Caenorhabditis elegans: one gene and its partners. The protein of the gene in region 1 interacts with the protein of each later gene in a biochemical or structural test. Each region holds a gene or a part of one and is shown in the gene's direction. Other genes may lie near its edges. The genes, in order: flp-15, npr-6, npr-11 and npr-4.

Region 1 (6,517 bases):
GCCTATATTGCAGGTTTAATTTTGAAACCTACGAGGCGTCTGTTGTTACAACTTGTTACTAGGTTAGGATATTTTTCAATTATCAAAATTTTCAAACTACAATAAAAATATATCATTGAAAAAAAAATGAAGAAAACGGAATTTTAAACACCGAAAAAAAACACTCGCTGAATTAATTCGGCGGGCAGAATTTTAAATTTTTTCCCGAAATCTTGAATTCCGAAAATCTATCCAATATAACGCGGAAAATTTTAAACGGTGTCTTGAATTCTGCCAATATCTCAATTCTGTTTCAAAAAAAAAGCCATTGAGGATTGAGTTATTATCAAAATTTTGTAAAACTTTCAAATTTCGAAATATAATTTTGCTCAATTTTATTTAAGTTGATACTTAAAAATGTATTTAAAAAAAGGTTCCAAGTTTTTCCCCTCAACTTCTCATCTCAACAAACTACAGAAATACCATTTCCACTTTGTTAGTTCCGTTAATTGCATACATAAAAGTCAATTGTCTCTCTGCAATATTGTGCCGGTTTCGTTTGAAATATGACCGAATTATGGATACACACGGGGCTACAGTAACACGACACCATTTTCAAGTGACAACAACTGGTGTAATAATTACCAGGTGTAATTATTGCCGCTCTGAAGTTTTTGGGGATGCGGCGGTCCAATAAGGGGTACTGTACGCTAGGTCACGCCTGTTTCATGGTTCTGAAACTTTGAAGTTATCGTTTTTAATATAATCTGAAAGTTATGAACATAAATTTTTTTTAAAAACAAAGGCTATAGTTGGGTTTTTTTAAATTCGAAGTTCTCGTTAGAAAGGGGTTGTGAATTAGAGTGCCAATCAGGGGTGCGCGGGAATTCTACAAAATGAGACGGTTGGGAATGTTCCCCCGATATTATTCGTTAAAATTTAATGGTACAATATAGAAAATATTTGCATTACTTGAAAATAACTGTTATTTCAGTAAAAAATATTGGAAAAATCTTCAAAAATCGTCTGAATGTTGAAAATTGCCGAAAAATTGACGCCAGTTTTCCACATTCGGACAATTTTTGAACACTTTCTCGGTTGTTATAAGTCAAATAAAAATTAATAGTAGTTTACAGGAAGTGTTCCTAAAGCTGAAATAACCACTCAAAACTCGTTCTTTGCAAAATTTAGTATTTTGTGTCATATCTACTGAATTCAGTCTGCCCCGCTACTTCAAATTTTTATATTGTCAGTTGGTATCACCGGAATCCATTTTTTTTCAAATTTTTTGATATTATCTGCAAAATTAATCTGAAAAATATATAGAATAGTATTTTAAGCGTTGAACTTTTTTGGTCACTTATATATGTGCCAAACTCCTGAATTCGGAGCAAACTTCAAAAGTGGTGTCAGGTTTTGTTGAAAAGTGGTACCTTTTCCCCAATTTCAAAATTTTCATTTCAAAAAATATCAAGTTTCTGACTGCTCATCAATAACTACAGAGCTGCGCAAAGGGCGGAGCTCAGATCCCGCCCTATCTGCTCGTGTGCGCTTTCGCAAGAGCTTTCGGCTCATTTTTTGGAAGAAGGTCTCCCACATACACCTCGTCATGCAGTTCTCCACGCTTATTCGAGTTGCAGTTTTTGCGGTTTTGGCAATTGCTACACTTGCAGGTAAGAGTTGTTGGCTAGATTTGCAAACTGAAAATACGATACGGATTCTATACAATACGAAAAATCAAAAAGATTAGGTTTTTTACGGAGTTTTATACATGTTTGGGTGAGTTGACCAGCTTTAGTTATAACTGCAGGTTTGAGAAGCATAATGGCTGAATAAATAAGTTTTAAAAAATGTATTCTCCGAGTGACGAATTCAAAAACTTATGATACATATCCTCGTGATCCGATTTCCAGCAAACTTGATATTTAGTTTCAAAAGTTTACATCATTTCGACATTCTGACAGGCAAATTGGCGGTTTACTCAAAACAGAGCTCGCCATTTAAGTCAAGTTGAACTTTAGTCAGTCAGATTGTAGATAATAAATCAAAGAAGTATGGAAATTTTTTAGCAACACCCAAATGTAACGGGGGATTATAACAAAAAAATTAACTGTCAAGTTTTTACTTTGGTGAGACTGGAGCAAAAACAAGAAAAACATTTAAAACAAATTGATAATAAATCGACCAAAAAATTCACTATAACTTGCCAGATTTTTTAAAATTGCTTTACTACCCTCAAAATTGTCTGAAAACGCAGACTTCTTAAAAACTTCTCGAAAAAAAAGTTATGACGGCTCAAAAAATGGTCTAAAAACTGTTTTGAAATTACCGTCAAATTTTGGGTATAAAATTTAGTTATCATGCGTTATCAACTCGATTTAGTAAGCCAATAGACGAAGAAATTTGGTAAAAATGTTTAAAATCTTTTGGTCCATCGACTTTAAAATAACTAAATCGAGTTGAAAAGGCAAAATAATTACATATACTCATATACTCAAAATTTGGCGGTGATTTAAAACAATGTTATCAGCCGCTGCGACATTGACAATTCCGTCAAATTTCAAATTTTGACTAATATTAGGCCCTTTTTTGAGCCGTATAACTATTTTTTTGAGAAGTTTTCATGAAGTTTCATTATGAAATTCGGGTGTTGTCAGACAATTTTGAGTCTAATAAAGCAATAAAAAACATTTTTACAAGTTATTTGTTACCAGTTACATTGTAACTGGTAACAAATTTTTGACAGCTCTAAAATTATAAATATATAATTTCAAAATTTCGATGACATCACCCTACCGTAACCCTGTCAGTTTTGATCCATTCCTCCATCATTTCTTGTCATTTCCTAATTCCACTTTCTTTGTTCTTTTCCCATTTGTCATTCAACAATCCCCTCCCTTACTCCTCCGCTTGTGTAGTTTAGTAGTAAAATTTTTGGAAAAATTCTGACTTTACGGATCACTGGGCTCCGGAAGTGAAAAGGTAAGGGTTTAGAAGTCAGAAAACTGAAGTTTTTAGATTTGTAAGTGGAAAAGTGCAAAAGATCGTTAAAATGTTTAAATCGGTTGTAAACGATGATGAAATTGATTTTGAAAGTCGCAAAACATTTTCGACAGCTTGAAATAGTGCCGGAAGCTGATAGTTTTTCCAAAAGCGTCGAAATTTGCAAAAAAAAACATCAAAAACTGTTTAAAAGTTTCAAAAATTTGCCAAAAGTTCATGAAAAGCCGAAGAGCTAGCGAAAATTAGTCAAGAGTTTTAGGAATATTCCAAAAATTGCCAAATTTTTAAAGACATTATTTTAAAAGCTGCCGAATTTTTTTGTGAGGATTTGATGATTGATCAAGAGTTTGGGCAAATTTCAAAATTCTTATAATTTTTCAAAAATTGTTTTCATTTTTTATAGAATATCGGTAATTTTGAAAAGTATTATTGCCGAATTTCGTGCAACAACTATTTTTAAGACAAAATTCAAATTATTTGAGATTTACAAGTTGCCAAAGAACCGTAGATAAAAATTTTATAATTCCTATTTCAAAATCAAAATGTCTCTAGTCTAAGGTGTAAGGGATTAAAACTTCCCACTAAAACTTCCAAATTTGTCACCACCCACGCCCGTCTACATAGTAGTGTCTTCTTCTTCTTCTTGTTTTGTCATAATATGTACACATGTATCAACCATAAAGAGGAGCCATTTGCATCGATTTTCATTCATTTCCACACTCCAGGGTCTAACTTTGGTAAGGTTTTATTGGCGGTGCACGTCCACTGGGGGTCGTCAGGCGATTAGTTTGAAAGTTTGAAACCAATGAGCAACACATGGGGCTCGCTTTATTTTGGAAACCTTTAGGAATGATGATGGTTGTGTATTTGAAAATGGGCTGGGGATTTTAATTTTAACAATTTAAAACGCAAGCGGCTAATTTCAAAAGTTAACATTTAAAAGTTAATTATTTTCACTGATCACGAAATTCTTTTGACACAATTTGAGGTTACTGGACAAAATTTTTGCCTTTTGGTACTAAAATTATCAGACGTCGATGATTGACCAAAAATTAGTTTTTTAGACCACAGATTTCAATATTATCAGTATTTTGAAATGCGATTAATTTTCCCAAGAAAATTTAATTAACAACACGATTTTATATTGTTCAAATTTTTTTAGAATTGCAAGTGTAGCAATTAATTTTTTTTTAATTTTAAACTAATATGTCATTTGTTTATTCCAAAATTGAGTTCCAGACGCTGCGACAGCGAGAAGATGGCAAAAATGTTTGATTTTAGCAGAAAATGAGCCTTTTTTCCAGAACTTTGAACTCGTTATAACTTTTTTGAAAAATGTTTAAAACGTTTCATACGAAATTCGGTAGTTTTGGGTCATTTTGGATCTAAAAAACAAAGTCTCGGATTTCGGTACTCCACCGTTAAACATTTATACCGAAGCAAGATAAAATAGGCATAGCAGCAGACTACAAAATTAGAGAGAAAACATTAGAGAGAATTGCAAAAAAATTTCAGTTGACAATAGTTTGATAAACTATTGAAGTTGGTTAAGAATTATTTATACTTTCAAAAAAAAGTTCGTCACACAAACCCGTTACCTAAAAATTCCAAAAACTCAGCTAGTCAAACAAAACGAGCTTCCTTGTCTAATTTATTCTTTTGTTCTTTTCTCTCACTTTGATAATGAAAACTTGACAAATTCTTCGTTTTTTTTCGAGAGCATCACGTTTATGCAGATGAGGGGGTAGATGTTTGAGATGAGTGATAAAAGATTGAATATTTTATGAAAAAAAAAGTTGGGGGAGATTTTTCTTTTTTTGGGTGCTGAGGTCAAACGGGGCAACATTCAAAATTTTGAGATTCTTTCCCAAAAAAGTACTACTAAACTGCCGGAATTGTCGAAAGTTTACCAAAGCTTTTGTCAAAAATTGTCTGATTGATTTTCCAGCAAATTTTCATTTTTTCAATTGAAATTTTTAAACAGAGTGTAGAAATTTCAAAATTTTGGCACAAAATGCATCTCAAATTACCAGAAGACAAAACAAAAAAATTGTGCCAAAAGTTTCACACGGCGTCCATTCGAATTATTTATGGAAAAATGATATGTACGTGTGTCGGAAGTGGGTTTCATGTGAGAATTTTTGTGAATTTTAAACAAATATTTAGAAAGTGGAAAATGAGAAAAAAAAAACGTCACTTTATAAATAAACTTGAAAGGATTCAGAAGGAATTTGATATTTCCAAGATTGGAACAATGGGAATTAAAAACTAATAAGTAGTAATTAAAAGCTCAAACTATGACTTTCAAATGAACCAAAATTTCAAAAAAAAAACAAGCATTCTAAAATTGCAGATTACGACGACAATTCGGTCGGAACAATCCCAGTGGCTGTTGATTTGGACTACTTTTCCAATTGTAAGCTTTTGAATTGTTAACTTAAAAAATGAAAATCACAAAGTTTTAAAACATTTGTTTATTCAAAACTTTTCGATCTCTTAAGTTTCTAAAAAGATATCAGCATTTCAAAAAATGTTCAGAAATACATTTTATCGCTGAATTCAAGTGAGAATACCATTTTGAAAATTAATACTTTTAAAAACATTTATAACAAATAAGTTTTCTATCTATTTTCAGTTAAAACTTTTTTATATCTCAAACGGTTTGATTGCTTTTTAACCTACCAATTTTTTTATGTTTGGTGACCACTTTATGCTAAATTTTCAGACGTAAAGAAAGGCGGACCCCAGGGACCACTTCGATTCGGAAAACGACGTGGACCATCTGGACCTCTCCGTTTTGGAAAGCGATCATCATTCCACGTGGCACCTGCTGCTGAAGACGTCGCGTCGTGGTACCAGTAAATAATTTGGAGAGCGGTCATTTTCTTGCCAACAACTTTTTTCTCCCCGATTCCGTTCCCCCGTTTTTCCATCCCTCACCTGACTGTGCTGCATGTGTTTCTATGAAATAAATAAGATGATTGGTTAATAAAATATGTTTTCAAGTTAATTATATTATTATTATTATTATTATATCATTATCGATGAACTTATAACAATTTTCAGAAAATGTCTGTCAAATGGATGAAAGTTTTGATATTCTTTATTTCGAGTAGTCGGCAACCAGCAAATTTCTAACTTTGAAATCGTGTTAACTCTGTAAACAGGGTGCACGGCAATTGCTTATTGCCGAAAATTCACAAAACCGACAATTGCCAAAGTTGCCAATTGCCGGAGATTTTGAAACCCAGCAATTGCCGAAATTGCCGATTGCTGAAATTCAGAATCGCCGGAAATATAAATTCGATACTTTTTGTAGATTTACGAAACTCAACATGAATTTTAATGGACAATTTTCTCTTTTCAAGCTCGGCATGATTTAATCCTTGAATGAAAATCGGCAATTTCGGCAATTACCAAAATTTCCGATTACCGCGCACCCATGTCTGTAACTAATGAACTATTGATCATTGAACTTTGGAAACTCAGAAAATTGAAAATGGTCGATGTTTTATTTTCTGAAACTCTTTTTTTT
Region 2 (4,983 bases), on another chromosome or scaffold:
TATCTATTTTGATAAATGTGACGTTTCATTAAAATTTTCGTTGTGTCATCAAGTATACTCCTTGAGCTAAAATTTATATTAATTTTCGATTTATTCTGATTTCTGTTTTCAAAAATGTTTTCCTACGCTCATTATCCAATTTCTATCCTTTGCCTTACAATTTTGAGCTGTATTTGGTTGTCTCAGTTTCACCAAAGCTTATCCGCCCTCTCAGAATTGTTTACTTTAGTTCATGTGCAACGTTTCTCCTTTTCCACCTCAAGGAGTGCTTCAGTTTTTCTCGACTTTTTTCTGGTGCCCCTCATCGCCCGGTCGAAATTCAATTTCCGCGGTATTGGAGTCGGATTTCCAGACGAAAAATAGAGAATAGACGGATGAACCCTATACATAGACAGGGCAAGGGCAAAGACGAAACTATCAAAAGGAAATGTTCTAAAAAAGGTCACCTACTATGCGAGTCCTTTTTTTTGCAACAATGAGAGCTTTATCAATCAAGATAATAACATTATCCTTGGTTCGTAGTAGCCTACATCTCATGAATGTTTCACATCCCACCATTTAGAGAGATTAAATCCATTGGCTCCTTACATTATCTTTTTTCTATTTCTTCTCCACGTCCATATTTCATTTCTGATTTTCAATTGAAACCAAATAATTTGAATCTAGCTTGTTGAACTTACGTAAGCGTCTTCTTCTTCGAATTTCGACCCTTTCTTTCTGTTTTTTATAGGAAATTCAAAATTCGCTTCATCGAAGATGAATTCATAACATAAATCAAAGGACTCTCGATTCGCTTTGTGCGTTTGCGTACCAGTTTTTAGGCAAATTTTAAATAAATGAGTATGTAGTTTGTTTAACGTAAAGGGAAAAAAGAAGGGTCTCAGCTTATTTCGAAAAAGAGAAAATTTCTCACATGTATATGGATTCTTTCCCTTTTAAAAGTTCACGACGCCTCCTCTTTTCTCACTTTGAGATTCACTTTTCGCGTCTAGAATTGCAAGTCTCACACAGAAAGTGAGAAAATAAGAAAATGAGGGAAGTGTTTGGCTCATGTTCTCTTTTTTATTTGATTGACAAGAAGAATTGAAAACAAACAATTTTTAAAAAATCATTGAAAACTTTGGGTTCTATTGAATCTGTTTAATAGTGTATTATTAATATTGTAATTTTTATTGATTTTTTTTTTCAAAAATCATGACATCAGTTTTGTATTATATGAACTATGTAGATTTCTAGTTTAGATGTGGTCGCTCTTCTAGTGTCAATTGCAAAGATGCGAATATCATTAAATTTTCATAACTGACTTAACATATTCTCAATTTTATATTCTTTTGGGAGCTTTAAATTTGAAAATACTTCTAACATCTTTTGCTCTATGAAACGTGTCAAATCTCGTTTTTTCTCCTTAAAATCAAGTTCATTTCCGACTCTTCCACCGCGCCCACGTCAGAATATTATGAACTTAAAGAGGTCTAAACGAGACACATCGCAACCAAACATATCCAGTTCACAATTCTTAAAATGTACTCGATTTATCTCCCGATTCTAATATTTTCAGCTCTTCGTTTATCCCAATTTCTGATAATATTTGATTCAGATGTCGAATGATCTCGTGCCTTCAGTGTCTTCTATACTAAATGAAACAACACCTTCATATCAAAGTACATGTAAAATCAAAAACGTAAGTTTTCGTGTCCAAAATTGTTCGTGAACGTTTGAAAAAAAATCAAAAATGTTCATTGAAACTATTTGATTATGAATTATTTTAACTGAAGCCGAGTAATTTTTATTTTAAAAAAACACGTTTCAGAACCCCATGGAAATGGAATATTTCCGCCCATTCTTTATTTCTATGTATTGTGCTGTTTTTTTGGTTGCTAGTTCCGGTAATTTTTTGGTAAGTAATATCATTTTCGATTTCTCCAGTTTTCCAACAACTGTGTTTAAGGTGGTGTACGTTGTGATGACGAACAAGCGAATGCAGACGATCACCAACATTTTTATTACAAATCTCGCAGTTTCTGATATAATGGTTAACTTTACGTGGGTTTTTTTTGAAATCGGAAGTGATATATCCGGTTCTTATATTCAGATCGTTGTGGCTTACACCAACATACACCTCAATAGGACATTGGATATTCGGAGGTGGATTGTGTCATGGTTTACCCCTGTTCCAAGGTATTGGTTTACATATAGACGGGAAGTTAAGCAGTGATCAAGCATCTAACTATACAGGTACAAGTATCTTCATCAGTACGTGGACACTTACGGCTATAGCCATAGATCGATACATAGTGATCGTGCACAACTCATCAAATATCAATATAAATGATAGAATGTCCATGAGAGTAAGTTGAGCAGGAACAATGTATCAATAAAAAACCTAACTCCAAAAAACCAAAACTCTCATTTCTTAGTCTATAGAAAGGTGTTTTTGAAGTACAGTTAACAAAGTAACCTCCATGAAAATAATAGTTTTTCCTGTTTTCGGTGTAGAACAACTTTGTAATTGGAAAAAATTCTAATTTTTAAAATTTTTTTGAAACTTTCGTACATACCAAATTCAGTCTTGCCTTTCGTTCATTGTCCTCATTTGGCTATGCTCATTGCTTCTGGTCACTCCGTATGCCATCAACATGAAGCTCAACTACATTCATGAACCATGTGATTTTCTGATATGTAGTGAGGACTGGAGCAATGCCGAATTTCGATCTATTTTTGGAATTGTGGTGATGATTCTTCAAGTGAGTTGGGGACAATGAAATTATTTGTATAAATTACCGGGGGATTATATATACATATATCTATGCCTATGCACAAATCAATTTTCAGTTCATTTTGCCATTTGTACTCATTGCCATTAGTTACATAAAAATATGGTTGTTCCTAAATAGCCGTCAAAGTATGACCGAGAGAAAATCCGATATCAAGCGCAAAAAGCGTTTACTACGGATGTTGATTGTCATGGTGGTCATCTTCGCAATTTGCTGGTTCCCATTCAACCTCTTGTTAGTTTAGAAGTGAATAATATGTCATATATTTGAAATAAATTCAGAAACTGTCTCCGAGATCTCAAGTTGGATAATTTCATGCGTGGCTACTTCAGTTTTGTTTTCCTTTCCGTGCATTTGATGAGTATGACAGCTACCGCCTGGAATCCAATCCTCTACGCATTCATGAATGAGACCTTCCGGTGGGTTTATGGGATTTGCATTTCGCCGCCGTCTGGTCGAAAACCCGTTTTAAACAATACAGACAACAATTGATAATCATTAGTGACTCAACGATTTATTGGAAAATAAATTGCAGTTAAAAGATTACGAGGGGTTGTTTTCTTCTCGTTCAGGTTGAAAATACAAGTTATAAAATTTGATACGTAAACATGTGCTAGAAAATACAATTGATAAAAAGTCAAGAAGTTTTATCTTAGACTGCATTTGTGTGTTCAGTTCTCATTTATTTTATTAAAAATTTATTTTTTATAAATACTCAATAAAATTTCCTCTCGTGACACTGTTTCTTCTTATAATTAGAAACAGATTAAACTAAAAAAAAAGACACTTTTTGGTAAATTTAGGATTATTTAAAAAATTTGCACAGTTCAAAATTCAATTAAATTCAATTAAATTAAATTCAATAAATTGAATTATTTAATTTTCATTTTCTTGCAATGCTCATTTTCAGTGAGGAGTTCGCAAAAGTTGTTCCCTGCTTGTTTGCGCGTCGTCCTGGAACTGGTCCAATTCGCGTCATCACTGGTAAAACCTGATAAATTTGAAGTTATTTTTGCTTAGCTTTTTTTTTAGAACGCACCGCTATGATAACTAACCCGTTTCGACGTGCAAACCGAAAAAAAAAAGTGGAGGAACAGCCTGTTACGGTGATTTCTGGTGAGTTTTACTTTTATGTTGTTTGATCCTTAGTTATTCTTCGTTAAGAACTTTTACACCCGACATCCAACGAAGAATAGGAAGCCATTCATTCCCTGCATGCACTCGTTGTCAGTGAACTTTTCAACAAACCAGCAATCTTTAGAAACAGATTCAGAGAGTCCACTTCAAACTGCAGTGGAGCCGCAGCGCAGTATCGTGTATCTCGATGAGCCTGAGAACGGATCAAGTTGTCAGACGCTTCTGCTTTAAGCCGCTCAATACAAAACCGGAAAGTCAGAACAAAAGTCGCTTTTAGTCATGTCACTTGCCAGTACATTTATCCGCTTTCCACTTGCCTTCATATGTAATTTTCATAAAAACACTTATTCAACATTTTATTTTTTTGGTCATATTGTTTTTCTTTCCTAAGATTTTTTCAGCTAAATCTCTGATCAAACCTGTCCTGATCTAAACTATGTGGTTATACTTAACTTATGCACTGCTGTATTTGCACAAATCTTGCTTGATGCTGATTTATCTTTTGTTTCTTCTTCTTGTCACATTTTGATAAAATATTTGTAAATGAAATTTCATATTGGTTACAAAAAATTGGTTCAACTGGTGTGGTTGATAAGATCAGATATGGTTCAAGTAAGAAGGGTATAACAGAATCATGACGAAATTTCAGAATGACATATTTAAAAACATGCTGGAACGGGAAATTGGTAGATGTGGATAAGTAAAATAAATCGAATTGGAAAATTGGTGAAATGTCTTTTCCTGGTTATGGTCATTTAAATTGAATTTGAATTGACTTGATAATAATATTATAAATATGGGAAATTAGGAATTATTTTGTTTTTTTTTTCAGAGGAAAATTGTAATAAAATCTAAAAAGTTTGGGTAAATTTTTAATATCTTTCGATAACAGCTTCACTGCGGTATTCCGAATATGTCTTCGGACGGGCGGCATAGATGGTTTCATCAACATGATCACCATTCATATAGGTTTTGTCAAAATTTTTCTCAATTGCCGGCGCATCCTGAATGAAAATTTGTTTCACATTGCATTTCAAAAATGGGAGTGAGAACGCTACCTGTGGATTGTATT
Region 3 (6,240 bases), on another chromosome or scaffold:
GGGATTCTTAAAGGTGGAAAAATAACAGAAATCTGAAAATTTGCTTTTTTTAGATTCAATTTGACATGAAACTACCGAATTTTGTACTGAAAGGTTTTGAAATTTATTCGAAAAACATGAAATGGTGGTGTAAAATTTTGGAAAAAAAAGTTGTATCTTAGCCAAAATTAAAATTTTTTCAATTAAATAAAATCAGAACTTGAATAAGTAAGTTTCATTTAATTATTACCCTTTATGAAAATTTACTATAAAATCCAAAATTTTGATAAAATAATTGTTATTTAGTTTTGCTTAAAATTTTCTCAAAACAAAGTTAAGTTGGATCAAAGTTTTGGAAAAATCCGATTTTGCAGTAGATTAGATTGATTTTTTTTTAACTAAAATCAAAAAATCAAACATTTTCTTGTTTGGTTTTTGATTAAAAATTATAATTTTATCGTTAATTTTCTGTAAACTTTTATACAAAATTAACGATTTAATTGTTCAAAAAAATGGAAAAATTTTTCGATTTTCCGATTTTCCCTTTAAAAAATTGAAGAAAATCGGAATTTTTTACTTCAGATTTTCAAAAAACAAACATTTTAATTTATCGATTTTTCGAAAGTTTCCCTGTAAAAATCAAAAAATCGAAAAAATGTGTCGCAGGGGGTGATAATTTAATGAACCTTATTTCTTCAAGTTGGGACTTTTTTAATTGGCAAAATTGTGAAAAAACGAGATTTTAGCTCAAAAAACCCCTCATTTCTACAATTGTTTTTCGGAAAAAAAAATTTTCGAAAATTTTTGGTCTGAAAAATGGAAAGTCTCAAGGTCTCAGATTTTGGAACTCCACCTTTAAAAACACACAAAGTTCTGTTTTCTGATACCAGTTTTCTTTTGTTGATGTTGTTGTTGTGTTTCACTTCTCCATTTCATATCCGGCCCGTTCCTGCATTTCCGATGTTTATGGATATCCACCACAAGATGGCAGAGAGAAATGTTTAAAAAAACCGACCTGGGTGGCCGAAATAAATGGCGGTTGAAAAGACGAGTTCCGTCAAAACAAAGTCATATAAATTTTTTATTCTTGTGGTGATGCTACTAGTTTGGTTTAATCGTATTTGGTTGTCTCTGGTGAGCTCATTCACCGCTTCTTTTGTTTTTTCAAAATTATTTTTCATGAACTGCTCCCACACATTTATTAATTTTTGCTATTTCCTATAGCTTTTGACTGTTTGCGAGATTCTTTCGAATTTGGTGCAATTCTTAACAGTAAACCAAAAATTATGGTCATTGCAATGGAGATGTGGTCAGTGCAACTGATAAAGTCAATCAAAATTTTTGTCAGTGCAAATGATATAGTGGTCAGTGCAACTGAAAATTTTGTCAGTGCAATTGGCATATATGATAGCCATTGGATAAAGTCATTCGAAGTTTTGGTCAGTGCAACTAAACATCTTGTCAGTGCAAGTTGTGTATTTTTAGGCAGCATAACATAGATGATTGTGGCTGGTAAAATTGAAAAAATATTATTAAAAAAAAAAACTAAGTTATTCCTGAAATTCGGTGCACATATTGCTCCCAAACCCCTGTCTTTCAACGTTATTGTTTTTATAAAGTTTCAATTTAAAAGGGATATGGGAGTAGACACCGGGGCGGGAGAATGAGTTAAATGAGATGATAGTTTTCACTTTTCAATTTTCATTTCTTCTCTATAATTCGCAGTAATTACCTCTCATTTTTTGATATTTTTCTCTTATAACCGACCGACTAACCACTAGTCTGGATGCTCAATTTCTTGGAATATTCGTTTATTTATTTCCCTTCTGTGTGAGAAAATTGGCGTTTCACATATTTTTTTTCTTGCCTTCAATTTCATCTCCCGTATTTTTGTATTTTCGTCGGTATTTTCAGAACTTTCAACAAATGGGATCGGTGAATGAATCATGTGACAATTATGTAGAAATTTTCAACAAAATCAACTACTTTTTTCGAGATGATCAGGTTATCAATGGGACTGAGTATTCACCAAAAGAGGTTGGTATTCAAAAAGACAATTTTTTTAAATTTTGTCAGTGCAAATCAAAACTTTGTCAGTGCAAATTTAAAAATGGTCAGTGCTTACTCAAAACTTAACATTCAAATTTTCAGTTCGGATATTTCATCACATTCGCATACATGCTGATCATTTTGTTTGGAGCAATAGGCAACTTTTTGACAATCATCGTAGTCATACTCAACCCAGCAATGCGGACAACAAGGAACTTTTTCATTTTAAACTTGGCGCTGTCGGACTTTTTTGTGAGTATTTTTTGCTGGAATTATTGAAGATAGGAAACAATTTGAAAAATTCCAGGTTTGTATTGTGACAGCGCCGACCACATTATACACGGTTCTCTACATGTTCTGGCCATTTAGCAGGACATTATGCAAAATTGCGGGTTCGCTGCAAGGCTTTAACATATTTTTATCCACATTCTCGATAGCCTCAATTGCTGTTGATAGGTATGTACATATATTTTTTTTAATTAAAAATGCCATTTAACAAGTTTTCAGATACGTGCTCATTATCTTCCCAACGAAGCGAGAACGACAACAAAATCTGTCGTTCTGCTTTTTTATCATGATCTGGGTGATTTCCCTAATCCTTGCGGTTCCACTTCTGCAGGCTTCTGATTTGACACCGGTTTTCGTTGAGCCATCGTGCGATTTGGCTCTTTACATTTGCCATGAGCAAAATGAGATATGGGAAAAGGTTGGTTCTTAGTGGTCTAAATGAACTATAAACTAAACAATAAGCTTCATGTATCAGCTCCTATTAATGAAATATAAAAACTGTCTATGTACTGTAGTATTACTGTAATAATTAGGTTAATATGGTGTGACGATAGTCAAGGGAACTTGCTTAATACTTTCTATGGAAATTTGCTTTGAGTAATAGAAAATGTGTCATAATTTCCAAATACATAAAAGAGTTGAAAAAAAATTTAAAAAAATTGTTCCGATTTTTTAAAATTTTCAAATAAAATTTCAAATGACTTTTTAAAGTTTTCAGTTTTCTGAAAACATGTTAACTGGTATTATATTAACCAGTATGTATGGAAATATAAAAACAAATATAAAAAAAGACAATTTCGGCTAAACTCCAATTTTTCCAGATGATCATATCAAAAGGCACCTACACGTTGGCAGTTCTTATCACCCAATACGCATTTCCCCTGTTTTCACTAGTCTTCGCCTACTCCCGGATAGCACATCGGATGAAGCTGAGATTTGCAAACCGAAATCAGAATGTGACAACAAATACCAATACGAGTCAGAGGAGACGGTAAGAAATTTTTGAAATGTTTTTGTTTCGAAAAATGTAAAGTTCCACGTTTTAAGTGGCATTCGAAATTTTTGAAACACTGTTCTAACAGAACTTTTCTGAGAAAATCTGACCCACCTGGGCCGAATACCACAATTTAAAAATTGAAACAATTTTCTAAATTTGATGTAATTTTTTTTGAAAATTGGGAAAATCTCTATTTGTGCAAAAAAAATAAATAGCCCAATAAAAATTTTTAGAGCATTTTTTGAAATGTTTTACTATGATATTTGACACCATAGGAGTTGTTTTTATCAATTTACCCATTTGGGCTATTCCACCTTTACTACTGTGAAACTTCGAGAAAAATGTGCTCAAAATTTGTTATTTTATCTGCGGTCATAAAATTTTCAAAAAATGTTAGTAAAAAACTTTAATTTTTTGTAAAAAAATCATGTGAATGAACTTATACTAAACTGATATCTACAACATTTTGAAATTAACCCAATCACCCAATTTCAAGTTATTTTTGAAACTTTCGGATCATTACTTGCCTGGAGAACTAAATTTTGAGCTTATTCAAAAATCAAACAACTTAAAATTTTTCACATAATTTATTGTACAAAATAGATGTTCTTCGAAATAAAATTATTTTAAAAAAAGTTCCAGATCCGTCGTGGAACGTCAACGACGCACCCACCTCCTTCTTGTATGCGTTGTAGCTGTATTCGCCGTCGCCTGGCTGCCACTCAACGTTTTTCATATCGTAGGAGCATTTTCGTTTTATGTTCCACTAAAACCATAACAAATTTCAGTTCAACACATTCGAGCTGGTCAACAGTTTTTCCGTTACAACGTTCAGCATCTGTCACTGCTTGGCAATGTGCTCGGCGTGCTTGAATCCGCTGATCTATGCATTTTTCAATCATAACTTCCGGATCGAATTTATGCATCTTTTCGATAGAGTTGGGTTGAGGTTTGTGAACATTTTAAGTTAATTTTGGTAACACTTATGTGTAAAGTTGGTGGAAAATTTTTGCAATTTTGTCATTTTGCACAAAAACGTCCAGTACCAGGTCCCGTCACGATACATTTTTGTTAAATACAAAAGTATGTGCGCCTTTGAGGAAGGAGTACTGTAATTTTCAAACTTTATTATCGCTAAAATTTCATGAATTTTTCATAGACATACGGTTTTCTCAAATTTTCAATTATTAATTTGATGATTTTTTTTTTCGTAAAATTAGTTGATAAAAACAATGAGTTGTAAACTACAGTACTCTTTAAAGGCTCACCTTCCAATTTTTGAAAAAAAATTGCCGTGTTAAGACCCTGCCGGCAGGTGGTCTAAACACAGTGGGGCTATTACACTGTGGAAAACCTTTCCTCAAGAGTTATATAAATATAATAGGAACTACCAAGGTACTGTAATAGTTTGGTAGAAGAACTGTTGCGGTGTGTGGCCTGGTTTACAGCTTTTGTATCAAAGTCGTGATACACCCAGAAAATAAAAGCGATCTACCAATTAAGCGCCCTAAGTTGACACGCATAATAAAGAGGTCCTTTATTATGGGAACATAAAATTTTGAGAATGCGTATTGCACAACATATTTGACGCGCAAAATATCTCGTAGCGAAAACTACAGTAATTCTTTAAATGACTACTGTAGTGCTTGTGTCGATTTACGGGCTCAATTTTTGAAGTGATTTTCTTTTTGAATAGGGACATCAATATTCCATTTTTTTTCGTTTTTGTTATATTTTCCTCCTTAATTTATATATTATATTGATAAACAAATGATTTTAATTCAATTTGAGAATCAAGCTCCTAAATCGACCTACAGTAGCCATTTAAATAATTACTGTAGTTTTCGCTGCGAGATATTTTGCGCGTCAAATATGTTGTGCAGTACGCATTCTCACAATTTTGTGTTCCCGTAATACCATTGATCTACAAAAATTGCGGAGATTAGGCTCACGGAATAATGAGTAAATTTGAAGAAAATTATAGATGGTTGTACTGTAGAAAAATCTGAAAATTCAAAAAAATATCGCAATATTCCAGATCCCTTCGAGTCGTGATATTTGGAGAGCAAGAGTCGCTCAAGAAAAGTATGCGCACTGAATTCAGAAGCCGTGGAGGCTGTAAGACGGTAACTACTGCAGAGCCAGCAACCTTCCAGAGAATGAATGAAAGTATGATTCTGAGTGCGATGGAGCAAGATGAGCAGCTGTGATTGTTTAAGAAAACATGTAGGGTAACAATAAATCATTCCGTCATTGTTTCAAAACGCTTCTAAAACCTAATTTATTTGATTTTGATGTTCTTTTTTTTTACTTTTTTTTTCGTTTCCGTCAGTATGTTGCTGATTCAGCCTATTATGTTTCACATATGAAGATTTGTAAATGAAGCTTGTCATAAGAGAGATGATTGGTCAAATTTGAGAGAAGTGACCGAAGATTAGGGAGGGGACTGACTGAAATGCGCAGTCATGCGGAAAATTTAGGGTATTTTTGAGTTGAACAACCATATTGTTCGGCAGCTTTTCAAAACAAATGGCGTCATGGATATGGAAGTTTTTGGTTCTTCGTTTCGAGACAGGAAAGTGAATTTTAATGAACTACTCATCGGAAACTGGTCAAAAAAGCTTGTTTTTTTTAAGGGAGGGGGGATTTGATGTAAGAATGATAACAAAAATCTTTTGGGACAAAAGTATATACTCACGTGGAGTCAGAATATCTCATTTCGGTTTGATCTTCAAAAAATGCGGGAGTTGAGACGCAGACATCTCAATTGATTTTGCATGGTTAAAAGTGTGCTGACGTCACAATTTTTGCAAAAATATTCCCGCATTTTTTGTAGATCAACCTGTGATGAGACAGCCTGACGCCACGTGTATACTGTGTACACTAAAAAATGCAAACGCTACGTTTGAGTATTATATGCAAATGTA
Region 4 (4,589 bases), on another chromosome or scaffold:
GTTTTTATTTATTAATGTAATACATACGAAAAAAAAAACAAAATTATAAATATCTGTGCAACAAGCCCACAAACTTTTCACTGACTTTGTTGTTTTTATGGATAATTCCAGTGTTTCTTACTAATTTATAAACGCTGATAAATAGTTATGTATTTTGAAAGCAGTCTCTGAAAAAAAACACGATATTAAATCAAAAAAATTTTACAAAAAAGCAAAAAGATTTGATATACATAACATTGTAACAGAATTTACGGCCTTTCCAACAAAACAAGTTTCTGTTGTCTTATAAAAATTATTCCAAAGATCTGGGAAAGTTCATTCAATATCCCCAGCGCTCATTACCATTTTCTTACGCATCGCACTTGGTCTCCGAACCTTCATTGCATTCACCTGAATCTTAGATAGCAAATGACGAAATCAGCCCAATCCTCCAATCATCCAATCGCAGACTTGAATAATCAACGCAACATTTGCACATCCTTAGAGGTCATCCCCGCATGACTCTATCATCCTTTTCTCCGAACCTTTTTTCCTCCGCTCTCCGCCCTCCATTCTTCTTTTTCCTGGCTTCAATCCCTTTTTTTACAACCAAATGGACCCTCTAAGACAATTGAGCAACGCCTGCGGAAGAAGGGCAAGCCAATCTGCAGTCGGTTGGTCCTTTTTTATTATTTACCTTACACTTGTTTCCGTTTTAATTGTTGCGATCTTTGTACAAGAAGAAAATCATGTTGGTTTTTGATGAAGTGAGTTCGGAGTTCGAATTGTTCTTTCAACTCCAAAAATCGAAGCACTTTTGTTTTATATTTTCGGTTTCACAGTATAACAAAAATTTGTTTGTAGAGTCATGTTTAGATTAGTATATAAAAATGTTAAATTCCACAAATTTGATTGAAAAACAAAAGTAGTGATTATTGTTTGTGTATTTCTCGAAACTTATTTTTCCAATTGTAAGGAAATATGAAATCAACTAATTCTATGGATAACATATAATTTAGTTTTAATTTGAAAAATAAAATAATGTTGTAGAACTTTAATGTAGTACACATTGAAAAAAAATAGGTTTGGCGGTAAAGCTTTCTAGTTCACCCATCTTCAAGTAATGCAAAATTGAAGTTTTCTTACCTGTTCTAGTTGGTTTTGAAATTCTCCTTAAACAAATTAAAGATAATTTTATTCAATTAAAAAATATTTTCCAGTATTTGACTTTTCACCAAAGTTAAAACAACTTGAAAAAAAGTTCAAGGTGTTTTCACATGTTCTAGTCTAGACTAGTTTCTTCAAAAGTGAAAAGACTTACAAAGGCAAAAATCCTTTGTCATTGTAATCCTCCGCCATAAAATTTTGTTTGTTTTTTTCTAAGAATCTGAAAATTAACTTTTCCGCCTGTCTTGCTCCATTTTTCTCATTCCAACTCGATTAGTTTATTGCATTAGTGCAGAATGTACAAACGTTTCTGAAAACAAACGCTTTTGGTGCCAGATGTTGAGGATAATATTAATCTTTTCTCACAATTTCTTCTTGTCCATTCTTTCTTTGAATTTATCTAAATACAATTTGTTTCAGCCCAGCTTGCCTTGGCACCAGGCTCTCATTTAATCACGGTAAGCCTCTCGGTCACTGTAAACTATATAACCAATCGTTTGATTTTCAGATATCAACACAAAGTTTACGGAGAATTGCAACTGAAAAGTTGTTAGGTGAAGACACATATACAGAACAATGTTACTGGAAATTGGCACAATAACAATCGGGAATATAACCCGAGCAAGAAAGTTTGGAGAAAGGTAAGTTCCTGAAAATGGAAAATGGGTCCCCCTCCGCATTTCAAATGAGGTGTCTATTAGTTTCTGGGAAAGTTGAAAGAGAAACCCTCCCACAACTCAAGTGTTAAAGTTCTAAGCCCAAATTCAGACACTTGTGAATATTAGATTATTGCCTATTTTGACGAGCTATGGTAAAAAAAACAACACTAATTTCGAGTGAAAACTCCAAAATTGTGGTGCACTTGTCACACCATCACTCATTCTCTGACAAATCTCGATTGTGTTTTTGAGCCAACCAGCTCTTATTCGTCGCCGTCAAAACTTTCTTAAATTGAAATCACATCTCGAAACCTTCTTCCGTTTTGCATAAAATTGAATTTAGTTCAACAAGTTTAAAATGCCACCCCTTTTCTAGAAAACAAATGATGACGTTTTCCACGTTTCTCAGTTGAGAACGAGTCATGCGACTTTCAATTGGTGAAGTTCTTTTTTTTTTCTTCTGAATTGGTGTTTTTCCATTACCAAAAAAAAAAGGGTTTTTGATCTTTAGATCAACATTCTCAATTTTTCGGTGCCAATCAAGATTCTTGGTGCATTGCGTTAGACAATACTGAATTGCAGCTAATCATGTAAAACAAGAAACAAATCATTGGCAAAATTGAGAAATTGTACCCAGTAAAACTAAAAAATATGGATCAAAGGGTGGTGTGAGTTTGTTGGGTGTTTTTCGCAGATCAATGGCAATTCGTTTGTGATTTTGAAAAAAATCGCTACAATTGTGAACATTGCTCTTTTTGACTTTTTGCTAACGATTTTACAATAGCTCAAATGTTGAACTTTTACTTTTCAAGATTCTTATAGTAAGACTTTTCTTGAACGATTTAATCTAGATTTTTTGGATCCAAAAACAGTATTCCTCTTACTCGTTGTACTTTTTGGCACTTCATTCTCCTACGGACCAACCACTTCATCTTTGCAACTTTTCGCTGACCTAAGATAATCAAATTCCTTAGAAGGAAGGAAAACTTTGAAACTTTCTCCCGCTCTCTCGAGTTTTTTATACCACCCACCTATAGTTCCTCTCTGTCTCTCTCTCCGTACTCATTTCATTAATGACGTTTTAAAATAGAGCCGCTAAAGAATTGATCTTATATATTAGGAGAGAAACGCATAGTGTTCGATCTTTGATGCTCAAAGCTCAAAATGTTAAAAATGCCAGCATGGTGTTATTATAATGTATCTGAAATACAAAATTAGAAGGTATCTGCAGAAATGCTGACGTGAAATGTGGGAAGGGGAAAGAGGAAAAAAGTTTTTACGATTGGTTGTGAGTAGGCGGAAAGATATGTTGTACAGCCAGTGGGGACATGATTAAAACCGTTTAATATTGCAAAAATGATAAAATATTATGATAAACTTTTCAAAAGCTATTGAAATTTTTTTTTACTCCGAGTCAAGATTTCAAAAATTTCATTTTGATATTTGGTAATTTTAGCACCACTATTGTAATGGTTTTCAATTATTTTTCACCTACCGTACTACAGCTTTAAGATTGTCACAGCACTCCGCTTTTTCTTTTGTTTCCTTTGAACCTGCTGAAGAACATGATTTTTTTTCCAAAATCTTTAATAATTTGCAATATTACCGTATACATATTTCCTGGTTGTTACGGACCTCAAAAATAATTTTCAGTTTATATAATTGTGATGTGCTTTTGTTTTGAAAACACCACATTGTCTAGCCCATTTGCTTTTTTTAAATGAATTTTTTATGAATTATGAAAACTACTTCCACTTAAAAAATCAGTGGTTCTGGGAAAATAACCATTTATTTCATTCCGTCTTCTTGTTTTTTTGACCGCGATGAACAAATACAAAATGAGAACATTAAAAGAAAACCAAAGTCACGAGACAACGTAGGCACCCAATTGTCTCGTAATTTATGAAAACACCAGTCACCAACCTAGAAGTACACCTTTTAGCCGGTCCCGATGAGGAAAACAATGAACAAAGGTTGAAGTTTTGCTATATGCATGTTTGACGCAGTCTGGCTTGTCCGGAACAAGATGTGCAATAGATTCGAGCTTTTGCGAATATTTTGGAAGAAATAGTAAATGGCCCGATATATCTAGATGAGACTTGGACGGAGGAGTAAAGTGGAAATTCGTTTACTTCATTCTATTTTGTGCTTAAAGAAGATATTTATCTGAGAAGCGTTGGGAAATGCATTTAACGGAAAAAGCCTTTCACATTCAAATTTTAATTTTCGATTCCTTGGCCAAGTTCATGTTGCGCTGCGATAGGCTTAGTATAATATTTTCGGAAGTTATTTGCATGTTCAGCAGATTGCGTCACAAATGCCATTTGTCCGATCAATTGAGCTTATTTTTATGTTACTATTTGGGAGGGTTGAGTAAGAAAATGCTAACTAACATCGTTTTTTGTCTTTTGAGATTTGAGAAATTTCTTATTTGCTTTCTCATCATTCTTTGTATTCTCAAAAATGAATGTGAACCTTGGAAAACGCTTGTAAGTTTTTTTTGATTCTTGAAGAGTTGAAACTGGGCAATTTTTCAAATTTATAGTAACTCGCAATGTTTTGAGAAATTTTCAATTTTCGGTTCTTTTTGAATATTACACATTCTACGTATTAGTTTCAATTTTCAAAATTGTTTAAAACGTTCATAATACACATTTCTCCCTAGAAAGAATGTTTAATTATTTTGTAAAGGTTCTCCCCAATTGATCACAAAAACATGTTGCGCATTCTGCTCAACTTGAATGCTTGTATCAATTATGAATGATGGTTTAATTTGAGTATTCA

Evidence for each region.
Region 2: of the proteins of flp-15 (region 1) and npr-6, one has a biochemical effect on the other in vitro, tested with the Caenorhabditis elegans proteins (one study listed by BioGRID).
Region 3: of the proteins of flp-15 (region 1) and npr-11, one has a biochemical effect on the other in vitro, tested with the Caenorhabditis elegans proteins (one study listed by BioGRID).
Region 4: of the proteins of flp-15 (region 1) and npr-4, one has a biochemical effect on the other in vitro, tested with the Caenorhabditis elegans proteins (one study listed by BioGRID).

Annotation. Positions count from the first base shown.
Region 1 is NC_003281.10:13,662,875-13,669,391, reverse strand, and holds flp-15 (FMRF-Like Peptide), read left to right. Parts: upstream 1-1,552; 5' UTR 1,553-1,588; coding exon 1,589-1,652; intron 1,653-5,335; coding exon 5,336-5,398; intron 5,399-5,707; coding exon 5,708-5,844; 3' UTR 5,845-5,992; downstream 5,993-6,517.
Region 2 is NC_003284.9:10,282,310-10,287,292, reverse strand, and holds npr-6 (G-protein coupled receptors family 1 profile domain-containing protein), read left to right. Parts: upstream 1-1,558; 5' UTR 1,559-1,597; coding exon 1,598-1,681; intron 1,682-1,810; coding exon 1,811-1,897; intron 1,898-1,948; coding exon 1,949-2,043; intron 2,044-2,092; coding exon 2,093-2,178; intron 2,179-2,235; coding exon 2,236-2,348; intron 2,349-2,567; coding exon 2,568-2,744; intron 2,745-2,832; coding exon 2,833-3,008; intron 3,009-3,055; coding exon 3,056-3,193; intron 3,194-3,684; coding exon 3,685-3,758; intron 3,759-3,806; coding exon 3,807-3,890; intron 3,891-4,047; coding exon 4,048-4,142; 3' UTR 4,143-4,474; downstream 4,475-4,983. Other genes in the region: slc-9B.1 (Cation/H+ exchanger transmembrane domain-containing protein), read right to left, coding at 4,784-4,915, 4,970-4,983.
Region 3 is NC_003284.9:1,251,281-1,257,520, reverse strand, and holds npr-11 (Putative neuropeptide Y receptor 11), read left to right. Parts: upstream 1-1,873; 5' UTR 1,874-1,905; coding exon 1,906-2,016; intron 2,017-2,130; coding exon 2,131-2,280; intron 2,281-2,335; coding exon 2,336-2,484; intron 2,485-2,535; coding exon 2,536-2,734; intron 2,735-3,137; coding exon 3,138-3,307; intron 3,308-3,955; coding exon 3,956-4,052; intron 4,053-4,101; coding exon 4,102-4,262; intron 4,263-5,351; coding exon 5,352-5,523; 3' UTR 5,524-5,706; downstream 5,707-6,240. UniProt on the Caenorhabditis elegans protein: Could be a receptor for neuropeptide Y and peptide YY.
Region 4 is NC_003284.9:12,548,655-12,553,243, reverse strand, and holds the start of npr-4 (G-protein coupled receptors family 1 profile domain-containing protein), read left to right. Parts: upstream 1-1,566; 5' UTR 1,567-1,604; intron 1,605-1,654; 5' UTR 1,655-1,722; coding exon 1,723-1,787; intron 1,788-4,589.